Oryzias latipes: one gene and its partners. The protein of the gene in region 3 binds, or shares a complex with, the protein of the main gene of each other region. Links are inferred from orthologs where the notes say so. Each region holds a gene or a part of one and is shown on either strand. Other genes may lie near its edges.

Region 1 (3,947 bases), on a different chromosome or scaffold from region 3:
AAAATGCAGACTTGTTCTTCTAAAAAGACCAAATAAAAACATGTTCTTTCTTTAATATGTATATGTGGTAAATACGCTGAGGAGCCCACCTGCTTTCATCTGACATATAATCCACCTCTAGACCCTCATAGTCTCCATCATCGCTGTCTTCCAGGGCATCCTTCTCATTGCTCTTTTGTTTCTTTTTCTTTGCTTTCCCTTTGGCTTTGTCTTTCTTTGCCTTTGCTTTGTTTTCTCCATCTGCAAACGAAGAAGAGACGGAAGCTGCAGGTGAGGAAAATGAGCTGACAGACGTTTGGAGGAAGGGGCTGAGCGCCCTGACAGTTCTGGAGCCTGCTGCATGGATCCTTACCATCTCCCATGCTGTTGTCGCTGTCGTCGCTGCTCATCTCCAGGTCTTCATCCAGATCATGAATTCGCAAATCTCCACCCTTCCCGCCCCCTTTCTTTTTCTTCTTTCCGGGTTTGTCGGCGTCATCGTCATCCTCCTCGCCCCGCTCCTGTTCCCGGAGGCGTCTCTGAAGCATGATGCTGAAGTGATTCACCACCTTGTTCCGCCTGGACAAAGAAGGAAATGACTTTTAAAACACAAAAGGCATTCTCCAAGTCCAGCTTGCTGCTCTGCTAACCTGCCCCACTCCTCCTCAGCTTCCTCTGCAGTCAGAGTTCGGTGCTTCGCCACCGGCGTGAAGTTGTACCAGCCGTGAACGGGGAAAGCCTCGAAGGCTCCATCAGGACACTGCGTAAAGATGTAGTAGGATGCATTTTCTGTCACGCCGCCCTTCTTTATACCTTTGAACCTGATGCAGAAAGACAAATATTATAGCCAGACTGAAGATTGTAGAACTGGAATCATAGGAGAATCTTGCTGCAATAAACATTTTAGGAAAAATAAAAAACACACCAACAGATTTTGTTAAAAATTGGTGAGGATTACACCAAATCTTACTCAGTACGAAGACGTATTTGCTCATTTTCTACAACGGTTAAATAAATATGGTTTATTGATTTTCTTTATTTGAAGAAAAAAAAGTCATAACTTCAAGAAAGCCTGCAGGTAAATTAAAAAAAAAAAATGTACTTAAGTTTCAAAAATAGAAACATTTATCGCTTTACCTTTTTCCTGCTTTTCCGTTGACCTTTAAAATCCACGGCTGATCCTCCACCTTGAACTCTCTGGTCACAATGCCATACTTCTTCCGCCGCGCTTCCTCGCGCTGCTTTTTGCCAAACTCGCTCCCTGCCCCTCCCTCTGGTAACTCCTCCTCGCCATATATTCGCCGAGCACTCAGGTCGCGTTCCATGCGAGCCTGGGGGAGTGACAAAGCAGGATATTTAACTTAATACCTTTTTTTTTTTTAGAACTTTTATCAAACAAGGGAAGTCCCATCGAGATTAGAAATCTCGTTTCCAAGGGAGACCTGGCCAAGAGGCACCACATTTCAATACAAAAAATACATTTAAAAAAACATCATTAGTACCACATATGTCATAAAACGCAGTTGCTTTATTAATCCGTACTCCCTTGTATTTTGTCACAAATTTCTGAATTCCTAAGGATGTTTTAAGAGATCTTATTGTTTTTAATTATAACCAAATTTAAAATATAGATTTACTTTACTGGAGCAAAAAAGAAGACATGAAGCCCACCTGTGTCCAGGCCGAACAGTTGACTTTGTCTCCAGAATTAAAAGCCATGATGTTGTACTTCTTGCTTGTATTTCTATGGGGCAAGAAAATAAATAAAAAAATAAAAAGAGTTGTTTTTGCAAGGCGGAGTCAAGTAACACGTTGACAAATTTAGGGCAGAATGATGCAAAACATTACTATTTCAAAGGATAACGGTGTCATTTCTGTGTTATGGTCAACATTACTAACACATTACTGCTTTCATTTACTCACTTGGGGACTCTCACTGTGTATTCTGTAGTCGAAGCACTGCTGCCCCCCTGGAAGATGGTAAACAAACAAACAAACAAACAAATAATGTGGAATTTCTATTAAAAAAAGGTTTTGCTATAAGATCAGCGACCTTCTGATTGAATGAGTTTTTGCCTGCATGCAACTCAGGCTTTACAATTAGTCTCCACTGATAAATTCGTGTAACATTGTCTTCTGTAGCGCAGATTAATAAAGTTTTCTTTCCTGCTGTAACCGGAAGCTGCCGGGCTAAAATAGCTTAAATGAAACGAAAACATTTTACATGTTAATAATAATAAAAATAATCATTAAAAAAAAGTCAGAACTTACCAGAGATGTCATGATTGTTTATCAACAACTTCTGGATTTGCCAACACTTCACTGGAGCTATTAAGGGTTTACAGAAAAAGAAAGGACATTTTAGCAGGTATTTCACTAATGTTTAGTGCAACATGATCATGTCGGCCATTTTCATAATGTGTAAAAATATGATTACGTTTATTACAAAACTAGTTTTATAGACGGGTTAGAAAAAAACAAATGTTCGAAAGCAAACAATCACCGAAAACTGGTTTTATTGTGAAAGAAAATAACAATGAATGCTGAGTCTCACCAACCCGGTCGTAGAGATTTCAATGGTTAGCTCTGATTAGATCATTAGATCTCCAGCACGATAAACGAGCTCATATGGTCGTTTTAGTCCAACTTCAGACCGAGTGAAGATGCATAAAAGGAAAATGAAATACAAAAATAGTGTTGTTGTTTTTTTTAAAAGAAAAAGCCCCGCATCTCCGAGAGTAAAACACTACTACTGGTGTACCGGTGAGGTGCGCGTTGTTGCAGCGTAATCGTTCCGTCACTTTTTACGGTCGACAGGAAACCTTGGCACGTCACAAATAGTTCCTATTGAAAATGCAGACAGTAACTGGAATGAAAGAAAAAAAAATCAAACTAATAAGTAAAAACAGACTTACCAACAAAGAAAAACATATAAATTAAATTTGTTTCCCTGAAATGTAGTTTAAAATTTATAAAAACTTTATTAAAAAAGTAAAACATTATTTAAAAAAGTAATTAAATTAATTGTTTCCTTTAAAAAATAATGATTAGGCTGTGAACACAGTGTTAAGAGCCGATTATGCTTGAGTGCACCTGAATGTAAGGAAAGGAAAGTGTAAATGCCATTCACAATTTTTACAATTTGACAATTAATCTGTGATCATGGCCGGCCCTCCCTATACGCGAATTACGCAGCCGCGTAGGGCCCCCACATCACCAGGGCCCCGAAGTGGCGAAAAAATAAAATAAAAAAAAGACCCAAATCTGGCAACCTATTTCATAGCTGTGAATGTTGTGCAAAAGAAAGTTGGCTGCACTTTAATGATCCCCCTTGTCAACAAACCTGAACCAATCTGGCAACCCAAATAATGACGTTACGCCACTCTCAGCAACGATTGGCCAACATCACTGCATCTGAGCCTGGCACAGTGTGCATTTACGAGCGCATTTTGTTTCAATAAAGTTGAGAAAAGAAAAAAAAATAGCTCATTTTGTCACGCTGATCAAAGCGACAACAAGAGCACTTCATGCCAAAGAGACTTTATCCATCAGGAGCTGAAAAAAGATGAACAACTTCAGCATCAATCACAAGGTAAGTTTGGAGGATGATGGGGCCATATTTTTTACATTATCCAGTATTTCTGTGCATTCGCGATTTAAAATACTAATTGATCCGAAGTTCGGTAAAGTTAGAAAGACAGGTGAAGTTTGCACATAAACGACCCCGTTTGTTGTAATTTCCAATGGAAAACTCTAAAATAATTCTGATACCCAAGTTTCCTGGATGAGGTCAGACAGGACCTTCCAAAACGGCGAAGAGAAGATTAAATAACGACAACGGTGATGGCTGATAAATGTTTAACTCACGTTATTGTATTGTTTAATTGTTTTGCTAACACATATTTAGTGCGTTCTGCATTTTCCGGTTTACGTCAGTATAGAAACTGCTGTTTATCTGTTATAGACAG
Region 2 (2,574 bases), on a different chromosome or scaffold from region 3:
ACTGTAGATGGAGATATGAAAGCCTGGTTTCGTTTCAGACCTCGGCATCGGAGAACTCGTCGAGGTAAACGTGGATCACCTCAACATCTGCAAGCCAGAGAAGAAGGATTCGTTTCTGTACAAACGCAGCCTCCAGTTCATCCAGGAGGCCTTGCAGAGTTTTAGCAGCCAGTGACTCTTTATCCGCACAAAGACAATGATGCAGACTACTGCATACTTGAACTGTGGAGAGAAAAAATATGCACATGCCCCCCTTCCGGGATGTCTTTTGTTAAACATGAACAAATAATGTGAAGTGTGAGGGATCACTCAATATTTAGACTAACTTAAATGAAAACTTTCAGCTCTGATAACGAGACTTATTTTTAACTCACTCCTCATGAATAACTTAATTGTAAATCGGATCACTTTTGCAAATAATATTTTTACAGTTTTTTGTCATGTTTAGAGTTGGAAACAGATTGTTAATATTTTAATTATTATTCTGAGATGTAATACTTACGTAAATGATCTGTAATATTCTGAAAAGAATTTCTTCCCCGCATTTATTTTTATATTTGAGAGTTTTATCCCCCAAAAAGCACAATGTCAGTCATAATTGGTGCCAAAATGTATTTCTTTTCCTAAGCCTTACCATAGACTCCTCCTTGTCTATTTAAAAAAACATTTATTTTTTTTAAGTAATGATGTGATTGAATTTTGCCGTAGCACAATTGCCACTAAAAATTCCCATCGCTGTCAATAAATTACTGAAAAATCTCAGTTTCATTTGTGTTTTTGCTAAATATTAAATTAGGGTTTTTACACTGGAAATATTGCTTTTTATTTTTTACAGCCTACAATGCTGTTTTTTGGGCAATATAAGTTAAGTTTTAGCCAAGATTTTGCAAAATAACATTTTGATAGCTTCAGTTTAATTTCCTTTAAAGTTTTTTGCGGAGCAACTTGGTTAGGAATCAAAAACTAAAAAGGAAGCTCTCTATTCTGGTATACGTGATCGTTAGCTTTGATTTTAAACCAAAAAGATTTTTTAAAGAACTTCTAAATCCTGGGAAATGTTTTGGTAATCTTATTTATTTATTATGTTTGTTTCCATGTCAATGAAAGTAACTTCTGCAAGAGTACAAAATCCAAATAAAAAATAAAATAACACTCCACGATTGAAGCTAGCAGCAGTGCGCATGCGTTGCATTGTTGTTGTCGAAGCACAGAAAATTGTCCCTTGACCCGCACCATACAGGGACATGTAGCATCGTGTTAGGAGCCTAGAATTTGTGCTAATATTCTGTCATACATTTACCTTTTATAAAAAGGAATTCTCTTACTTCCACTAACATCTTTCCCGGAACACAGACAGGTTTGTTATTTTAGTGTTGTTGTTTTTTAGCTTTGGTGTATTTTAAAGCATTTTATAATTGTTTTTATCTGAGTCTTGTTTACCTGTGATGATTAGCTTTAAAAAAAAGCGCGTCACAATGAGACTTTTTAACCTTTAAAATCTGTATAGACTTCAAAAACAAACGTTCTATTTTGACAGAGAATTCTTGTTTTACTTGTTTTTATGCGTCAGGTTAAAAAATCCTCGCGTTAAGTTAACATCTCCGCTAAACAAAGGGACCGTTTCTTCGTGAACATGGTGAACGTTCACAAAGGCGTTCTCGTTGAATGGTAAGTAAAGTTTTAACAAACATTATTTTTTTAACAAGTTCTGTAAATTAACATTTTGAGAACTCAATTGTGTCTGATGGGATGTGTTTTATTGAATTAGTGACCCCGCCATGAAACAGTTCCTCCTTTACCTGGATGAGACCATGGCTTTAGGAAGGAAGTTCATCCTGAAGGACCTCGATGACACCCACGTTTTCATCCTGGCAGAGGTGGTCCAAACCCTGCAGGAAAGAGTCGGAGACTTGATGGACCAGAATTCCTTTCCCATCACGCAGAAATAACCTTTGACCTTTCCTAAGGATAATCTTTTTGTTTTGTTTTTTTGAGCTATGGAATGACTGGATTTGTTTCTGACATGCTTTAAAAAAGATCAATAAATTGGATTATGGGTTACATATAACTATCATTACTTGTAGTGATGTAGTTTGTAATTATACCTGCATCCATATTTTTATGGGTATTGGGGTGAGAAAATTTCCAGAAATTCTTTAAAAATGTAAAATATATCTAGCTGTGGTGGTCACGATGCATATTTAAACCCTAGGAAAACTGTACTAGGACTTATTTAAGTTAGTATCCCTCTGCCAGGTATACAATTTTTAAATATTTTAATATTCAGTTTTTAAGACATTTTCATAGACACTTTGCTTTATTTACAAGTCTCCTTACAGCCTCATGTACAAGCAGCACATTTTACAAACACCTGAAGAAAAATCATCTTAAACATAAGTGACATTCCCTTTGAAGAAAAAAAACACAAAATATACACATTTTACAAATTCATAACTCATTTATGAGGAAAAATAAAATGGAAATGCAAGGCACCGTTTAGAATAAAACATGTATTTGTACAGATCTGTTTTTTTTTTTAGATAATTGTAAAATAAACTTATCTGAATGTGCAGT
Region 3 (4,217 bases):
AATGAGAGAATAAGACACTGAAGCCAAATTCCTTGTATATGCCCTCATTATTCGCTAATAAAATTGATTACTAGTCAGAGAAAAAAAAGGGAAAGTAAAATTATTTTTAGTATTATTTCTGTTTACAGTTTGGGGTTTGTTACCTCCAAACTGTCACTGTGTCAGAGTTACACTGCATTACATGACTTTATTACTTATAAAGTAATAATAAAGGGAAAGTAAAATTATTTTTAGTATTATTTCTGTTTACAGTTTGGGGTTTGTTACCTCCAAACTGTCACTGTGTCAGAGTTACACTGCGTTACATAACTTTATTACTTATAAAGTTATGACTCGTAATCAATTATTACTTATAGCGTTCTTTGTAAGACCTACAGAAGTAGAGGAAGTGACAAGGTACTGTCAAGCATTTCACTCTAAGACAAATGGCGATAAGCTTTAATAATCATTAAGTGAAAGTACAGGAAGCAGAATCACAGCTTTTTGTTGTTAAAATAAAACTATGAGTCATCTACCTAAATGGATAACAGAGTGACAGGAGAACCGTAGGGGTCTGTTTACCTCAGGAAAAGTGGAGCTGTCTATTAAATAATGATTCCAATCACCACACTTTGTCAAAAATAACTGATCAGATACATTTTTTTCTTCAAGAAAAAAAAAAAAAAAAAGATAAACACATTTGTTCAAGAAATCAAAAGTTAAATTATTGTTTCTAAGCTAAAAGTGATGAACCATGAGTTTATAAAGATATTTTTAGCAGAGTTTTTTTGTTCATGTGTTCTCGTCTCATTACTAAGTATGTAATGACTTTAATGTCATAGTAATGCTTTACACCCCTTTAGAACTGCAAAAGGTATGCTATCGTAATGTATTTTGTAACTACGTGCTGTAGGCTCCTCTACAGTAAAAAGAAAAAAAAAGGCTTTAAATTAAAAATATTATTCAAAAATAAATCCTGGAACTTTATTAACATTTCACTTAAGTGTTTCATCTTTTAACAAGAAATGAGATTAAACTTTATTGGTCAAAGCACAAAATTTGGCAAAGAAAACTTGTAAAGATTATGTTTATAATCGAAATGGCAATCACACCACAATGCAAAACAGAACATATTACAGTCAGGTGTTGGAAATAATACTTTTAATGTCTTATTACAAACTGTTGGTTATAATAATATCCAATAATTTTCAGTTTAAAAACTGAAAATGTTGGGGGAGAAACATTTGCTGAAACTATTTAATTGTTTTTAAACGTTCCGGCAAGAATTAAAAACTGTGAAACAGAACACTCATTATTTTAGCTATAGTTTCAGAATCCCTAACCAAAATAGCTCTCTTGCCTGAAATAAGTTGACTGTCCTCCAGTCCAGTAGGTGGCGATGTTGAGCTACACAGCTGCGGGTTTTTGCTTGCACGCGGAAGACGTCACCCAAGGAATAACATACGATAACGATAACCGACAACTCGAACACTAAACGAAACAGTTACATGATGGATACAAAAATAATACTTTTTTATTAGAAAGTAAGCTTGAGTTTACTTAAGCTTAAAATTGTCTTTCTATTTCACTTTTTAGTTTATAAATTAGTCTATCGGGACTTATTCGCCACTTTCTGGAAAGAAGAACTCAACAGTAGCAGGTAACGTTGACATGCTAACACTAGGATTAGCATCACATTAGGTGTTAGACAATGCGGGAACATTAATTAGCGGTTATGTGGGTCATGCTGTCACGGGATTCGGTTCTTTGGGGAAACTGGACTCTAAAGGTTCATCTCGATGACTTTTAGCTGCTTATATGAAGTTTTTTTTTTCCCGATAAACTGAAGAAGAAGCTAATCGGACAAACAGCGAACTTCTGTTATATATATGTTTAAATATGTTTTGAGTTGAGTTTTTAGTCCACTGTTTCTGTATTAAGTGTATTTCTTTGGTCACTGTTAATGTAGTAATTCCATGTCTTTGGCCCATATTGTCAGTAGAAGAACCGAACACAATTATTTTTGGCACAAATGGAACACCGTAGTTTTGAAGAACAGAATCCTGTCGTGTCAAGACAATGTTTTAACATCAAATCTAGTTACTAATAATAATCCTTATGCTCTACTTAATATTTGAAGAAAAAATAGTAAAACAGCTGCATCACTGATTAGATTGAGAAAAGAACCAGGTAAACATACCAGGTATAATAGATATGCATGGAGATGATGCACCTCACTGTTTCAGTATTATATTTATTTCATAAATTATATTTAATTTAAACGTTTGAAGCTTAGTAAAACTGCATTTTATCCAGCCTTTTCTGTGTTTACATGCTTTTGTCCACCAGCCTGGATGGATCCAGCTCTGCTTCGCGAGAGGGAGCTGTTTAAGAAAAGAGCTCTCTCCACGCCGGCTGTTGAGAAGAGACCAGCTGCATCAGACTCTGGATCCCACAAGAAGAAGAAGCCCAAGTTAGACAAGGAAGGCTCCTCTGGCTCCAAACACAGCACTGGTAGGTCATGCTTTATATCTGGTTACTGAGCTTCTCCTGGACGTGCCACAAGCTGCTCCGCTCCATTCTGATAAACCCACTTGCAGACAAATGGATCCATGTACGTCTTTGTTTTCCTCGCCTGGGCTGCCATCTGGCGTAAACCTTAAGTTTGCTCACCAATGTTGGGTTGGGTGTGTGAGAGGCTGTAAGCTTATGAGAGAGGATATGCAGAGAGCTCAGTAATGGATGACTGGAAGGGGGGGTAGGGTTGCTCCTTACAGCGCCGCTGGTCCCACTCGCAACTCAGGTGAAATTCCAATGAACTACTGCCACCCTGCAGAAACTATGTCCTAGAAAAACGACCCAGATTTTTTTAATTTTTAGCTAAAAATGACCTTCTCCTAAGTAAAAGACCAATGGAAACGCTTTCACAATAGATCAAAATATGATCGGAGGGGGTCTTTGAGTGAAACTGGCAGATTATTTTTAAGGATTATGTTTTCTTTCTTTTGTTTGGTTTAAATGTTGTTGTTTTTTAATGGATGGATGATGTAACACCTAGGCAATCAAAACTCATTCATCTGTCACTCATAGGTTATTCTGAGTCAAATATTTGAATAATTACGAAAAGCAAAGTGGTCAAAATTCTGCTGTCATTGCTTTTTTTTAAAGGTGTGCACAGATCAAAAAATGACTTCTAACATTTTTATAGTAAATATAAATAAAGCCTAAAAGAATTCTTTGGATGAAAGGACTGATTCATAAGAATCATGAAATATAGAGAAAGAAAATTCAAACTCTTTAACCAAACTTTTTGTTAGATCTCATTTTTATTGATTTTCTTTAGTCTTTTTATGTTTGTCTTCATGAAAATGCCAACATACCACATTGACCAACAGCCGTCCAACGCTAGATTTTATCACTTCATTTAGTTGCTTTTGGAAAATAAACGTCTTCATCTGTTAAAAAAGTTTCAGAAATGTCAGATTTTCCACCTGGTAACATGAGAGTGGCAGCTGATTTCTATACATCCACTACAAACAATTACAACTTTCGGCTCGCCTTAACATCCATTTAAATGAATCATGTTTATTTATAACAATTCTTTTTTATCATACCACAATGTTTTTAACCCAAAAGAAAAGATTTCCATCAACTTTTATCGGGTTTGTGGGAAGCCAAACGAAAACCTTTATTGTGTCTACAAATTCACGACTGTGTGTTTACCATAGAAGAACGGCAAAAAAACACAAAACTAAACAAAGATGACATGAGTCTTTAAAGCCCTAACTCGGCAAACGTTTCTGTGTACAGAATACTCTGGAACATTGATTCATTTTTTTCTTTGCCTCTGAATTGGATGCATGCAAATAGACAGTCTATGGTATCAGGGGTGCTTGTTTTGGCAATAAATTGGGCATCCCAACCCCAAACTCTTCCATTTTCCTTTGTCTGTGCTGCTGCTATACCACCTCCGTGTGGCTCTCCAGCTCCTTGCATGTTCTCGTCATGAGATTGCTGCAGCTTCCCGACCTTTCTTGCTGCAACTGGTGGCGCGTTTTCCCTTTGGCGCAGCAGCCGCAGTCCAGTAACTCGTAGAGAACGGCCAGAGCGGCCAGGGACAGAACGGTGAGGATGAAGAGCAGGAGGATGACGAAGCAGGCGACGTTCCAACCGTCGTGGAAGGGGTAGACTTCCTGTACCTGCAGGGAAACGTGGGACATGGGGATGGCCTCGGGGAG
Region 4 (4,027 bases), on a different chromosome or scaffold from region 3:
GTCTTATCAGTCTGAGTGGTGCCATTTTGGAGCCGTGTGGCGGTGGAAGCCCATTCATAATTGAAGTAGAGACCGGCTTAATCTTGAGCCAGTGGCTCCCTGTGCAGCACGCTCCCATCACAACACAACTGGAGCTTGCAGCTCCTCTGTTGCTATGCAACTACAGCAAAGAAGGGGGAGTAGGGAGTGGGGGGGGGGGGGGGGGTAAAGTGTGCATTCTCCAGATCTTTAGAGGGCATCATGCTTCTCTAATGTTACACCGGAGTGAAGCTCAAAGACAGCAATGCCCTAGCCTGCATATATGATCACATCCCAAACATTCATAGCATGGATCACTCGCTTGCTTTTTGATCACGTTGAACTTTGCTTCCCCTGTAATTATAGAAGCATGAGAGGGTGATCTGCAGGGTCAGATCACCCTCTCTCTCTTTTTTTTACATCTTCTTTAGATAATTTCAGTAAACACAGTTTTCAGAAAACACTGAATTGTTTGTGGATTGATGCAAACAGTCTTCCCTAGTCTATATCATCTATATCCACAGAGTGGCCAGGGAAGCAAGTTTCCATGGAGACTGAAGTGGAGTTAACAATGTCTACACGAAATTATTGCAAAGCTTTTTTTTAAGGATTTTCCCTTTGGTTGTGTATTTTTGGATCAAGTGAATATGATCTTAAATACTTCTTCAAATGTGCACAGATCTTCTTAATTAAAGATCACATATAGCACGCTGCATGTGAAAAATATGCCCGTCTCAAAGCTCCAGTGAAACACAGGTTATTTTCATGTGATGTTGTCTTATCGCCCTCTTGTGGCTGTAGAACGATACTACAAGGAACATAGAAATAAATCGGGCTTTTGGATTCAGATTTGAACCTTTTCGTTATAAAATAAAAGTAATGAATACAACACAGAATTTACTATACAGGAAAAATCTCGATTTAGCTGAAAAAGTTAAATCAATTAAAACTTGTAACCCTCTATTTGTAAACATTCTCAACACAATACAAACTCACAAACAAAAACAATGTAATTGTAATCATGGTTAACAATTGGATAATTTGTCCAACAAATCTAAAAAGCTAAGTATCCAATCGCATTGTGAAATTTACAATTTAAACTACATTTCCCAGCACGACGTCAGTGATTAGTCATCGTTTTTTGTGGCAAATCTCGCGCTATGTGCCTTTTGACCCTGCCCTATGTCTCGCGCACTCGCAGCTCCATCGCTCAGTATATAAAGCAGGACAACGACGAAAGGAGGACGGCTGGGGAGTCGCAGCCCGGGATTGTAAATAAGACCGTTAAAACTGTGTTTTATTTACAAAAGTAATGCCGGCTGTTTTAAAGTACCTTTCCCAGTTGTTTTAAGTCTTTTTTCTTAATTTTTGGCACTGTTTCTCGCCTATTTCCGTGTGGTTTTTACACTACGCGTATAATGGCGAGCTCGGCAAACTCGAACCCAGTGGTAAGGATCAATCTCTCAGGACTGTCAACGGGGGAAAATGGGGGTAAAGTTGATGGAAAAACGTGTCAACGATCTGTTTTTTTTTTTAATTTATTTTTTTTATTCATTACAGTAAAAATGAGTTTTACCAACACCGTTATGTCCATTCAAAGGAATACTCACGGTCATTTTTTTTATACCAGTTTTCGAAACTCAATGAAAAAAGAGCTTATAGAACTGATTACTTTTGTAGGACCCGAATCTCTTTAAATATTTAAATTAAATGTGATCAAAAATAAATTTTAAAGTTAAAAGTTGCCTGTTTATACGGTATTAGTTGTTAACGTAAGTGCTTCCGAAAACCTTCTGGACATTTTTTTAAAGCTAAATTGAGTTGAAATCCGCATTGAATGCGTTAGCTAACTAGTTAAGTTAGGGGTGCTCATTTTTGTTTACACGGGGGAAAATGTCATACTTATTGTCGCATAACTGTTGGAGGGGAGGGAAACTGATGTACGCAAAGCACATATGCACCATCCACTGCGACTGAATTTAGCTAAAAAAATTTTATTAAAAGCTTGGCGTCTTGAACGCTCTGTCAACTGCTTCTTCTTCATTGTCCTCCATTCCACGACCAGAGGGCAGGAGAGCCGTCCCAAATCACCCTCAACGCAACAAATGTCCCGCTCCAGTCAAAAATGTTTAGTCAAAACGGATCCTTTCATGAGATAAACCACCGAAACCGTCATCTTCAGTCCGCCATATCTTGCTAGTCGAGGAGGGAAAAGAGGCGCGCGCGCGCTTGCCGCTCTGTAAAATGGCTTCCTCGTCTCCTCTCTCGGTTCTGGCCCTCCTCCTTTCTGCTGCCTGGTTTTATACCGCCATATTGGCCGTCTAATATAGACTGCCCGGGATGGGACGGTGCTACACGACGCTACGTCACCGGTTCTTCACATAAACAGCAGACTGCGCTTTAAATAGTGCCGGAGCTGACGGGGAGGAGAGCAGAGAGACGGACATTCGGTGTCCCGCTTCTCGTTCTGCGTAGAAGCCAGAATGTTGTCCGTGACAGTTCCCCGCGCGTGCAGCTCTGTCTCGAGGGACGCGTTTAGTCCTGCTGACAAATGGATCAGTGCAGATTATTATATATGGGTTTGGATAATCTATCCATATACACAAGATGTGACCGTTTAAACTTAACACCTCTTTTATGAGTGTTTTCCTACATTTATTGTAAACATTTATATATGTTGAAACCACCACCAATAAATTGTGTATTTGCTCTGTTTTGTCATCATAGCCTAAATTATACAAGTCTGTTATTGAGGATGTGATCAATGAGGTGCGGGAGCTGTTCCTGGATGAAGGGGTGGACGAGCAAGTTCTTCTGGAGCTGAAAACGGTAATCCGTCTCATTTTACTGAGAGAAGGTTATAACCCCCCCCCCTCACACACACACACACACATGCAGCTCCGTGTTTGGTCAGATTCATCTGGAGTCTTGTCTTTCAGCTGTGGGAGAACAAGCTGCTGCAGTCAAAGGCGGTGGAGGGCTTCCACACCGAGGAGCAGGCGGCCCTGCAGACCGCTCAGCAGCAGCACCCGCACTCCCAACAGGCCCAGCAGGTGGCCCAGGCCGCGCCGGCCCAGCAGGTTATCCAGATTCCCTCGCAGCAACAAGGCGAGTCCGCACGTTGACATACAAACGTCGCCTGGACGTGTGTTGTTTTTTTTTTTTTTCAACCTGAAATAATGTGTTTTATTCTCAACAGCTCCCCAGCAGCAGGTCATAGTTCAGGACTCTAAAATGATACAGCACATGAATTCAACGGGAATGGTGAGTAGCATCTTACAAGCTGAAAACTGCACCGCCACACTTGAGAACCAAAAATTCTCCCAAACGTCCCGTTTTGTCATCGCACAAATCCACCCGGGGAATATCTGGGATAGTATCAAGGAAGCGACGGTTAGGAAAACTAGCCGGGCTGTGGGTTTTGGGAGAGGACTTTTTTTCTCAACAAGGACCTGGAGAACAAAACCGAGAAAGGGAAAAGCTTTCTTGTGGGGAGGCCATCTGTCTTTTTGAGCTTGAAACCTAGCCGCCGCTATAGCTTTTCCTTAAGTGATGGACCATGTTTGAAACCTTTAAGGCTTAAATGAAAAGAAAAAAGAAGATTTTTTCTTTTTTTATCACCTAGAAAATCCACCTTTTTGTGCTCTGGTATAATTGGAGCGGCTTTCTGTGTTTCCTCCTGCAGACCGCAGCAGCCACTGCAGCAACCCTTGCTTTGCCCACAGGGGTCACCCCCTACCAACAGCTCATCACAAGCCAAGGTAAAGCTCTCACCGTTCCTTTGGACTTTAGCGTGGTTGGATCTCAAAACGTTTTTTTGTTTTCCTGTTGATGCAGGTCAGCTCCTGCAGGTGGTCCGGGCTCCCAACGGGACTCAGTACATCATCCAGCCTCAGCAGCAGATCGTCCTGCAGAATCAGATGCAGCCTGGCGGCGTGCAGGCCCCCATTATACAGCAGGTACAGTCCATGTGTGAGGTCATCCTTTTGAGCATGAAACCAGTCTGGGA
Region 5 (2,911 bases), on a different chromosome or scaffold from region 3:
CAGCCTCAATAAAAGAAGTGAACCAGTCTGAATTATTTTTTTAAATGCACAAGAATTATCAAAGCAATTATATTAGTAGAAATGTGAGTTTCAGTTAAATTTATGATCTTGTAAGTTCTACCCTGTGACAGACTGGCGACCTGTCCACAAGTGGTCGAGATAGGCTCCGGCAGCCCCGTGACCCCGAAAGGGAAAAACGGTTAAGAAAATGAATGAATGAATGAATCTTGTAAGTTCAAGAGAGTTTTAACATGGACTGCCAACAAATATAAAAAAGGAATTGGGTACCGGTACTTTTGAATACTGGTATGTTGAGAAATCTAGATGAGACTAAGGCTTAGATCAGATTTACATTTGATTTATGTTCACAACTTTTTTTTTCTGCAAATGAAAATAAGGAAAGACAGTTAAAGATTAGTTAATAAACAGCAACAGTTTCACAGAAAGTATTGGCTAATAAGCTATCCAAATGAAAATATTTAAACTTGAAAATGAAAGCTGTAGATCTACAGTCAAGATTAGAAAAAGAGGATTTTTTTGGGATTTGCATTTTATGCCAATTCCCAAATAAGGATTTTTTATTTTATTTTACTCACATGACTGTGGCAACATTAGAATGTTTTCTAAATTATTGCAGAGAAATCCTCAAATAACAAAAAGTAATATTTGCATATAGACAAATGTTGGTGAATACATATACCATATAAATGTAGTTGTTTCCTTATCATAGAACATGAATGTGTAGGTGATTTAAATTAAAGCATTTAATCATTGGACACATATGTCGTCTGGGATTAACTGGTATTATTACAGACCCACCCAGAGAGATGTGATTTTATTTTGGTTTGAGGAACAGATTTCTCAATATTTGAGGGCCGATGCAGGTTGTATTTAGACAATGTGCTACCTTCTTTAAAAAAAAAAAAATATATATATATATATATATATATATATATATATATATATATATATATATATATATATATATATATATATATAGTAAAAATGCAAATCGTACGCGTCAGTTTTTGTAACAAATACTTTTACGCGATAAAATAATTTTTTTGTTAAATCCTAAAGTTGTGTTTTACATACAGAAAATGAACACACAGCAGTTAAACTCAACAGCATTGTTTACCTAAATTTAGTGGTTTATTTAAATTAGTTTTATTTTGTAGGATCACATCCGGAAGCTCTGTATTACACCGGAAATGGTTATTTGAGCTGTGATGTTTATATCGTCAACGGTTAAACTTTGTCTCTACTATTATTACAAATAACGCTGTTTAAGTGTTGGACAAACTTGACCAATAAAGGTGAGTTAACAACTTCCTTTTTTAACGTAATGTTACTAATATTTTTATTTCATTTGTACCCGAGTTTGGGAAGCATGTGAACGACGGCGTGCTGCTAGGCTAGCTGCATGTACGCGGCTAGCGTTGGCCTTTCTTTTTGTTTTTTAAATCTCAGTAATTTAAACACAAGTTACTTAATTATATTATATCGTTTACAGAAATTGTAGCGCAAGATATTTGCGTTCATTTTAGTTACGACGTTCCTAAACAACGTGTTGGTACCTTCCTTTAGAAGTATTTGCTAGCATCATAAGCGGAATTATGTTGTAGGAACATGTGTAACATAATTACCCTTTCTCAGATATGACCATATTCATATTGGCATGTTTTTGTTTATTTAATTTTTTTTTATTATTGATTTGATTGTTGATTATATTATTTATTGTGGATTGAATATCTTAGTTTGGCTCCTTCTTCAAGCATCCAGAAATGATTATCCCGGTGAGGTGTTTCACTTGTGGGAAGATCGTGGGGAACAAATGGGAAGCCTACCTTGGTCTTCTTCAGGCCGAATACACTGAAGGGTGAGACAGATGCGCTTCATTTTCATTTTACCTTCATGTTTCGTTCGTTCAACAATGTGTCACCGTAATGCTATATGGTCAAGTTTTCTGAAACTAAATAAAGGCCTTCATTCAACCTCTACTCCTCCTGTTTCACTGTCAGTCAAGATGTTAGTTTGAATTCAGACCATTTGAGGATACAACATTTAAAACTAACTATAGAAATGTTTTTTTTTTTTTTTTCTGTAATTATGCAAGCAATATCTGGCACTAAAATTACTTTTCCATCTTCCCTTTTCTAGTGATGCTCTTGATGCCCTGGGCCTGAAGAGGTACTGCTGTCGGAGGATGCTGCTTTCCCATGTGGATCTTATTGAGAAATTGTTAAATTATGCACCGCTGGAAAAATTTTAGCTGGAAGAACATGCTTTGAACATGGCCTGTGCATATATTCAGTGTTTAAGAAATGTCAACAATAATGACTTGGTGTATTGTGCACATATGTGGCAATGAAAATTTTATTTAAATAAAGTTTTTTCTTTAAAGTATTCGATTCACTGAGTTGAGATGCCATCTAATTTTTGAGGCGTTGAGTTAAATCGCTCAACCTTTCACTTTATGTACTTATGAAAACATGCAAACAAATAATGTTATACTATTCAACAGCAGAGCACATAAGACGAGAATACTTTGGGATTTTTTTTAATTGTAGATTTTCTACCAAAAGAAATGTGAAATTACAATGATTACAGAAAGAATTGTTATGGTGCATGCAAACAAAGTCTTATTTTACAAGAAAAAATCTACAGCCAATTTTTGTTAAAACAAGTCCTATTATATAAAGGAAGAACAAAACCGTGTTCTCAGATTGAACAAACAATCCTTGATTCTTTTATATACAACTCGACGCAACAATGCTCCTCTGCCTCCAATCTGGGGAAGCAAGAACAAAACATCGTCATGGCGGTTGGAACTTTAACTCTTGAAGAGTTATAGTGAATGTGCAGAAGGTTTTCAGCAAATTACAATGCCACTTTGTTACCAACAATTAAA
Region 6 (2,251 bases), on a different chromosome or scaffold from region 3:
GTTGCCCCAGTGCCGTTTTTCAGGTTCAGGCTGTGAACACATTGTAGAAAAAAAAGCATTTTAAACTGAATAAAGATGTAACTTTTACTATGGAGTCATGAATTCCTCTGGTAAAAACCACAGGAAAGAGTTTTTTTTCTTTTTTATGCCGTTTTTAGCCAACAGTCTTATTGGAGGACATAGTTTCTGCAAAGTCAGTTTTGGCAGATTAACCCCAAAAGGCAATTTTATGCGTCATTTTCTTTATGCATGTCTTCTATCATCAGAAAAATGTCTAAAGAACTCGCTAGAAACATCATTTTCATCACAGTGGTCTTTATTTTAATTTTTATTATTATTATTTATTTTGAGTTATTATTTATTTTGAGCATACAGTTATCTGTATGCTGAGTATAAACCATAATAGCTTTTTTCTTTGTTCGTCTGGATCTAAATCATCATAAATTCTGGAAGGCAGAAATAATTTTCTCACTTTTTTCTCCTGATTTGATTTTTTTTAAATCTTTTGTCCAAAATGTCAGATTTAGTTTCATTTTAAACTTCAAAAAAGAAAAATTTCCTGAATTAGAACATGGAAGAGAAAAGTTCCTTTAGTGCAGCGCAGCCTGGAAGTAGACCGATCATTTCTTTAGTCAAATAAAAACCTGCAAACATTGGCATTGGCTCGGTTTCTGCAGATCCGTTTATGGGATGGATTCACGTTTTGTCCCCTCAGATGGAGCCGCTCTGCCTGGGGCTCAGGACGGAGCTGCAGCTCGCGATCAGACAGACGAAAACGAGGAGGTGATGCGCGCCCTCCTCATCCACGAGAAAAGGGCCGGCGCAGGACCAGGGGTGGGCGGAGCCGGCGCCTCCTCCAGACCTGCCGCGTCCTCCGCCCTCAACGCCAGTGACTCAGAGAGCGACACCAGTGAATCAGATGACGAGTTCCCCGCAGGTCCTCCTCCCATCGCAGCCGCACGGCGCCCAGAGGAGGACGAAGAGGACGAGGACGACTTCGAGGAGGTGGGGGACGAGCCCATGGTGATGGTGGGAGGTCGGCCGTTCTCCTACAGGGAGGTGAGCCAGAGGCCCGAGCTGGTGGAGCAGATGTCTGCGCAGGAGAAGGAGGCTTACATCGAAATGGGACAGAACCTTTTCCAGGACATGTATTTCTGAGCCCGGCTCACACCCAGTGTTCATCTGATGGCGGCGGCTGGAGGACCTGTGCACACGTGCACGTGTTTAAACTTTAGCAGAGGAAAGCTGTCATCTGTTAGGGAGGTGTCCCTCCTGCAGTATTTTATCCATCTGCAGTGTTTGGAAAGATGATGTCCTCAACACAAACATCCTGGTGGCAGATCCACCCAAAGTCTGTCTGCAGCCTTTACAGCTTCCTGTCTCCTTTTTGGGAGGAGGAAGAGGAGTTGGATTGGCTGCTGAAGGACTTCTTCAGAGTTGAGACTCCTTCAGCAGCGATGCCGCTCAAAAGACAGGATTAAAAAAAAAAGTCTAAATTAGTTCCACACAGAGTTTTATAGCAGTGATTTACAGTTAGATGCTGAGAATAAAAGTCAGTGTGGGTTCAGTATTAAGTGAAAACATGTTCAGAGTTACATCCTTTTTTTCCATTGCATTTTGTCTTCATGCTGCGTTCTTAAATTTCCTGCTAAAATGCCAAACTTGCAGTTTGTGGGAATCAAAGCAGTGGATGGCAGCGGCTAATTTCCCTTTAATACGAGTTTTTTGTCAATAAAACTTTTGTTCTGAAGCTTTGATTCATTTTTTTTCTCTGTTGCTCTGTTAAACCTGAGGAGTCCCCAAAGATGATTTTTCTACAGTTTTTGCTGTAAGAAAAACTACAAAAACGATAAAAAACCAGAACAGCCAATCAGAATTTTTCCTGAACATCTTGGGGTTTTTTTGACAAAAAGGAAAAATGTGCAGCTCAACATTTCTGCTGAAACCACACATGGAAAGCTTGTGAACAACACAAATGTTTGTTTTTTTGTGTGTGTGAATCTTTTCCCTCTGGTTCTGCTATGAATGGAAACGGTTTTCTTCCCTTAACCCTTGTGCTATCTTAGATGACCCCCCCCTTCCATTGAGGTGTTCTCCCTACCACGACAAAGGTGGATAAAGGTGGAAAGATTTCATGTAATCCATGGACACCAGTGAAGATCACAAATCATTGAAGAAAAAAGGTTCAGAGCACTGTCTAGTGGGTCTAGATGACCCAACTCCCATCGTTAAAGAGCCTAGGATAGCACAA

The links.
Region 1: gtf2e2 (region 3) and gtf2f1 share a complex: the UniProt entries of both Homo sapiens proteins name them as parts of the TBP-based Pol II pre-initiation complex. The link is inferred for Oryzias latipes from reciprocal best matches to the Homo sapiens genes GTF2E2 and GTF2F1.
Region 2: gtf2e2 (region 3) and gtf2h5 share a complex: the UniProt entries of both Homo sapiens proteins name them as parts of the TBP-based Pol II pre-initiation complex. The link is inferred for Oryzias latipes from reciprocal best matches to the Homo sapiens genes GTF2E2 and GTF2H5.
Region 4: gtf2e2 (region 3) and gtf2a1 share a complex: the UniProt entries of both Homo sapiens proteins name them as parts of the TBP-based Pol II pre-initiation complex. The link is inferred for Oryzias latipes from reciprocal best matches to the Homo sapiens genes GTF2E2 and GTF2A1.
Region 5: gtf2e2 (region 3) and polr2l share a complex: the UniProt entries of both Homo sapiens proteins name them as parts of the TBP-based Pol II pre-initiation complex. The link is inferred for Oryzias latipes from reciprocal best matches to the Homo sapiens genes GTF2E2 and POLR2L.
Region 6: the proteins of gtf2e2 (region 3) and gtf2e1 are in contact, whole or in part, in a crystal structure (PDB 5GPY), measured with the Homo sapiens proteins. The link is inferred for Oryzias latipes from reciprocal best matches to the Homo sapiens genes GTF2E2 and GTF2E1. Residues at the interface, in NP_002086.1 of Homo sapiens: Asp159, Gln160, Arg161, Gly162, Leu163, Gly164, Gly165, Leu167, Leu190, Val192, Asn193, Arg194, Pro195, Ile200, Phe202, Cys208, Gln209, Phe210, Ser211, Val212, Asp213, Glu215, Phe216, Gln217, Leu219, Trp220, Arg221, Val223, Thr224, Val225; in NP_005504.2 of Homo sapiens: Arg16, Lys19, Tyr20, Val21, Arg23, Gly24, Phe25, Tyr26, Ile28, Glu29, Leu32, Arg39, Leu51, Leu52, Lys53, Phe54, Asp55, Gln58, Gly68, Asp69, Lys70, Phe71, Lys73, Thr98, Asn101, Val102, Val103, Lys104, Tyr105, Lys106.

What each region holds. Positions count from the first base shown.
Region 1 is NC_019866.2:14,106,534-14,110,480, reverse strand, and holds the start of gtf2f1 (general transcription factor IIF subunit 1), read right to left. Parts: upstream 2,801-3,947; 5' UTR 2,534-2,800; intron 2,308-2,533; 5' UTR 2,263-2,307; coding exon 2,251-2,262; intron 1,950-2,250; coding exon 1,903-1,949; intron 1,724-1,902; coding exon 1,651-1,723; intron 1,311-1,650; coding exon 1,117-1,310; intron 801-1,116; coding exon 630-800; intron 559-629; coding exon 353-558; intron 241-352; coding exon 90-240; intron 1-89. UniProt on the Homo sapiens protein: TFIIF is a general transcription initiation factor that binds to RNA polymerase II and helps to recruit it to the initiation complex in collaboration with TFIIB. It promotes transcription elongation.
Region 2 is NC_019882.2:9,073,468-9,076,041, forward strand, and holds gtf2h5 (general transcription factor IIH subunit 5), read left to right. Parts: upstream 1-1,216; 5' UTR 1,217-1,357; intron 1,358-1,570; 5' UTR 1,571-1,633; coding exon 1,634-1,668; intron 1,669-1,768; coding exon 1,769-1,949; 3' UTR 1,950-2,074; downstream 2,075-2,574. Other genes in the region: protein SERAC1, read left to right, coding at 39-175. UniProt on the Homo sapiens protein: Component of the general transcription and DNA repair factor IIH (TFIIH) core complex, which is involved in general and transcription-coupled nucleotide excision repair (NER) of damaged DNA and, when complexed to CAK, in RNA transcription by RNA polymerase II.
Region 3 is NC_019859.2:11,936,997-11,941,213, forward strand, and holds the start of gtf2e2 (transcription initiation factor IIE subunit beta), read left to right. Parts: upstream 1-1,417; 5' UTR 1,418-1,639; intron 1,640-2,328; 5' UTR 2,329-2,333; coding exon 2,334-2,493; intron 2,494-3,287; exon of another isoform or gene 3,288-3,938; coding exon of another isoform or gene 3,939-4,217. Other genes in the region: smim18 (small integral membrane protein 18), read right to left, coding at 3,939-4,217. UniProt on the Homo sapiens protein: Recruits TFIIH to the initiation complex and stimulates the RNA polymerase II C-terminal domain kinase and DNA-dependent ATPase activities of TFIIH. Both TFIIH and TFIIE are required for promoter clearance by RNA polymerase.
Region 4 is NC_019882.2:4,171,033-4,175,059, reverse strand, and holds the start of gtf2a1 (transcription initiation factor IIA subunit 1), read left to right. Parts: upstream 1-1,227; 5' UTR 1,228-1,436; coding exon 1,437-1,466; exon of another isoform or gene 1,467-1,503; coding exon of another isoform or gene 1,504-1,509; intron 1,510-2,745; coding exon 2,746-2,847; intron 2,848-2,957; coding exon 2,958-3,126; intron 3,127-3,217; coding exon 3,218-3,282; intron 3,283-3,703; coding exon 3,704-3,779; intron 3,780-3,855; coding exon 3,856-3,977; intron 3,978-4,027. UniProt on the Homo sapiens protein: TFIIA is a component of the transcription machinery of RNA polymerase II and plays an important role in transcriptional activation. TFIIA in a complex with TBP mediates transcriptional activity.
Region 5 is NC_019861.2:18,860,753-18,863,663, reverse strand, and holds polr2l (DNA-directed RNA polymerases I, II, and III subunit RPABC5), read left to right. Parts: upstream 1-1,184; 5' UTR 1,185-1,316; intron 1,317-1,757; exon of another isoform or gene 1,758-1,775; 5' UTR 1,776-1,784; coding exon 1,785-1,879; intron 1,880-2,160; coding exon 2,161-2,272; 3' UTR 2,273-2,411; downstream 2,412-2,911. UniProt on the Homo sapiens protein: DNA-dependent RNA polymerase catalyzes the transcription of DNA into RNA using the four ribonucleoside triphosphates as substrates.
Region 6 is NC_019879.2:29,665,061-29,667,311, reverse strand, and holds the end of gtf2e1 (general transcription factor IIE subunit 1), read left to right. Parts: intron 1-715; coding exon 716-1,158; 3' UTR 1,159-1,751; downstream 1,752-2,251.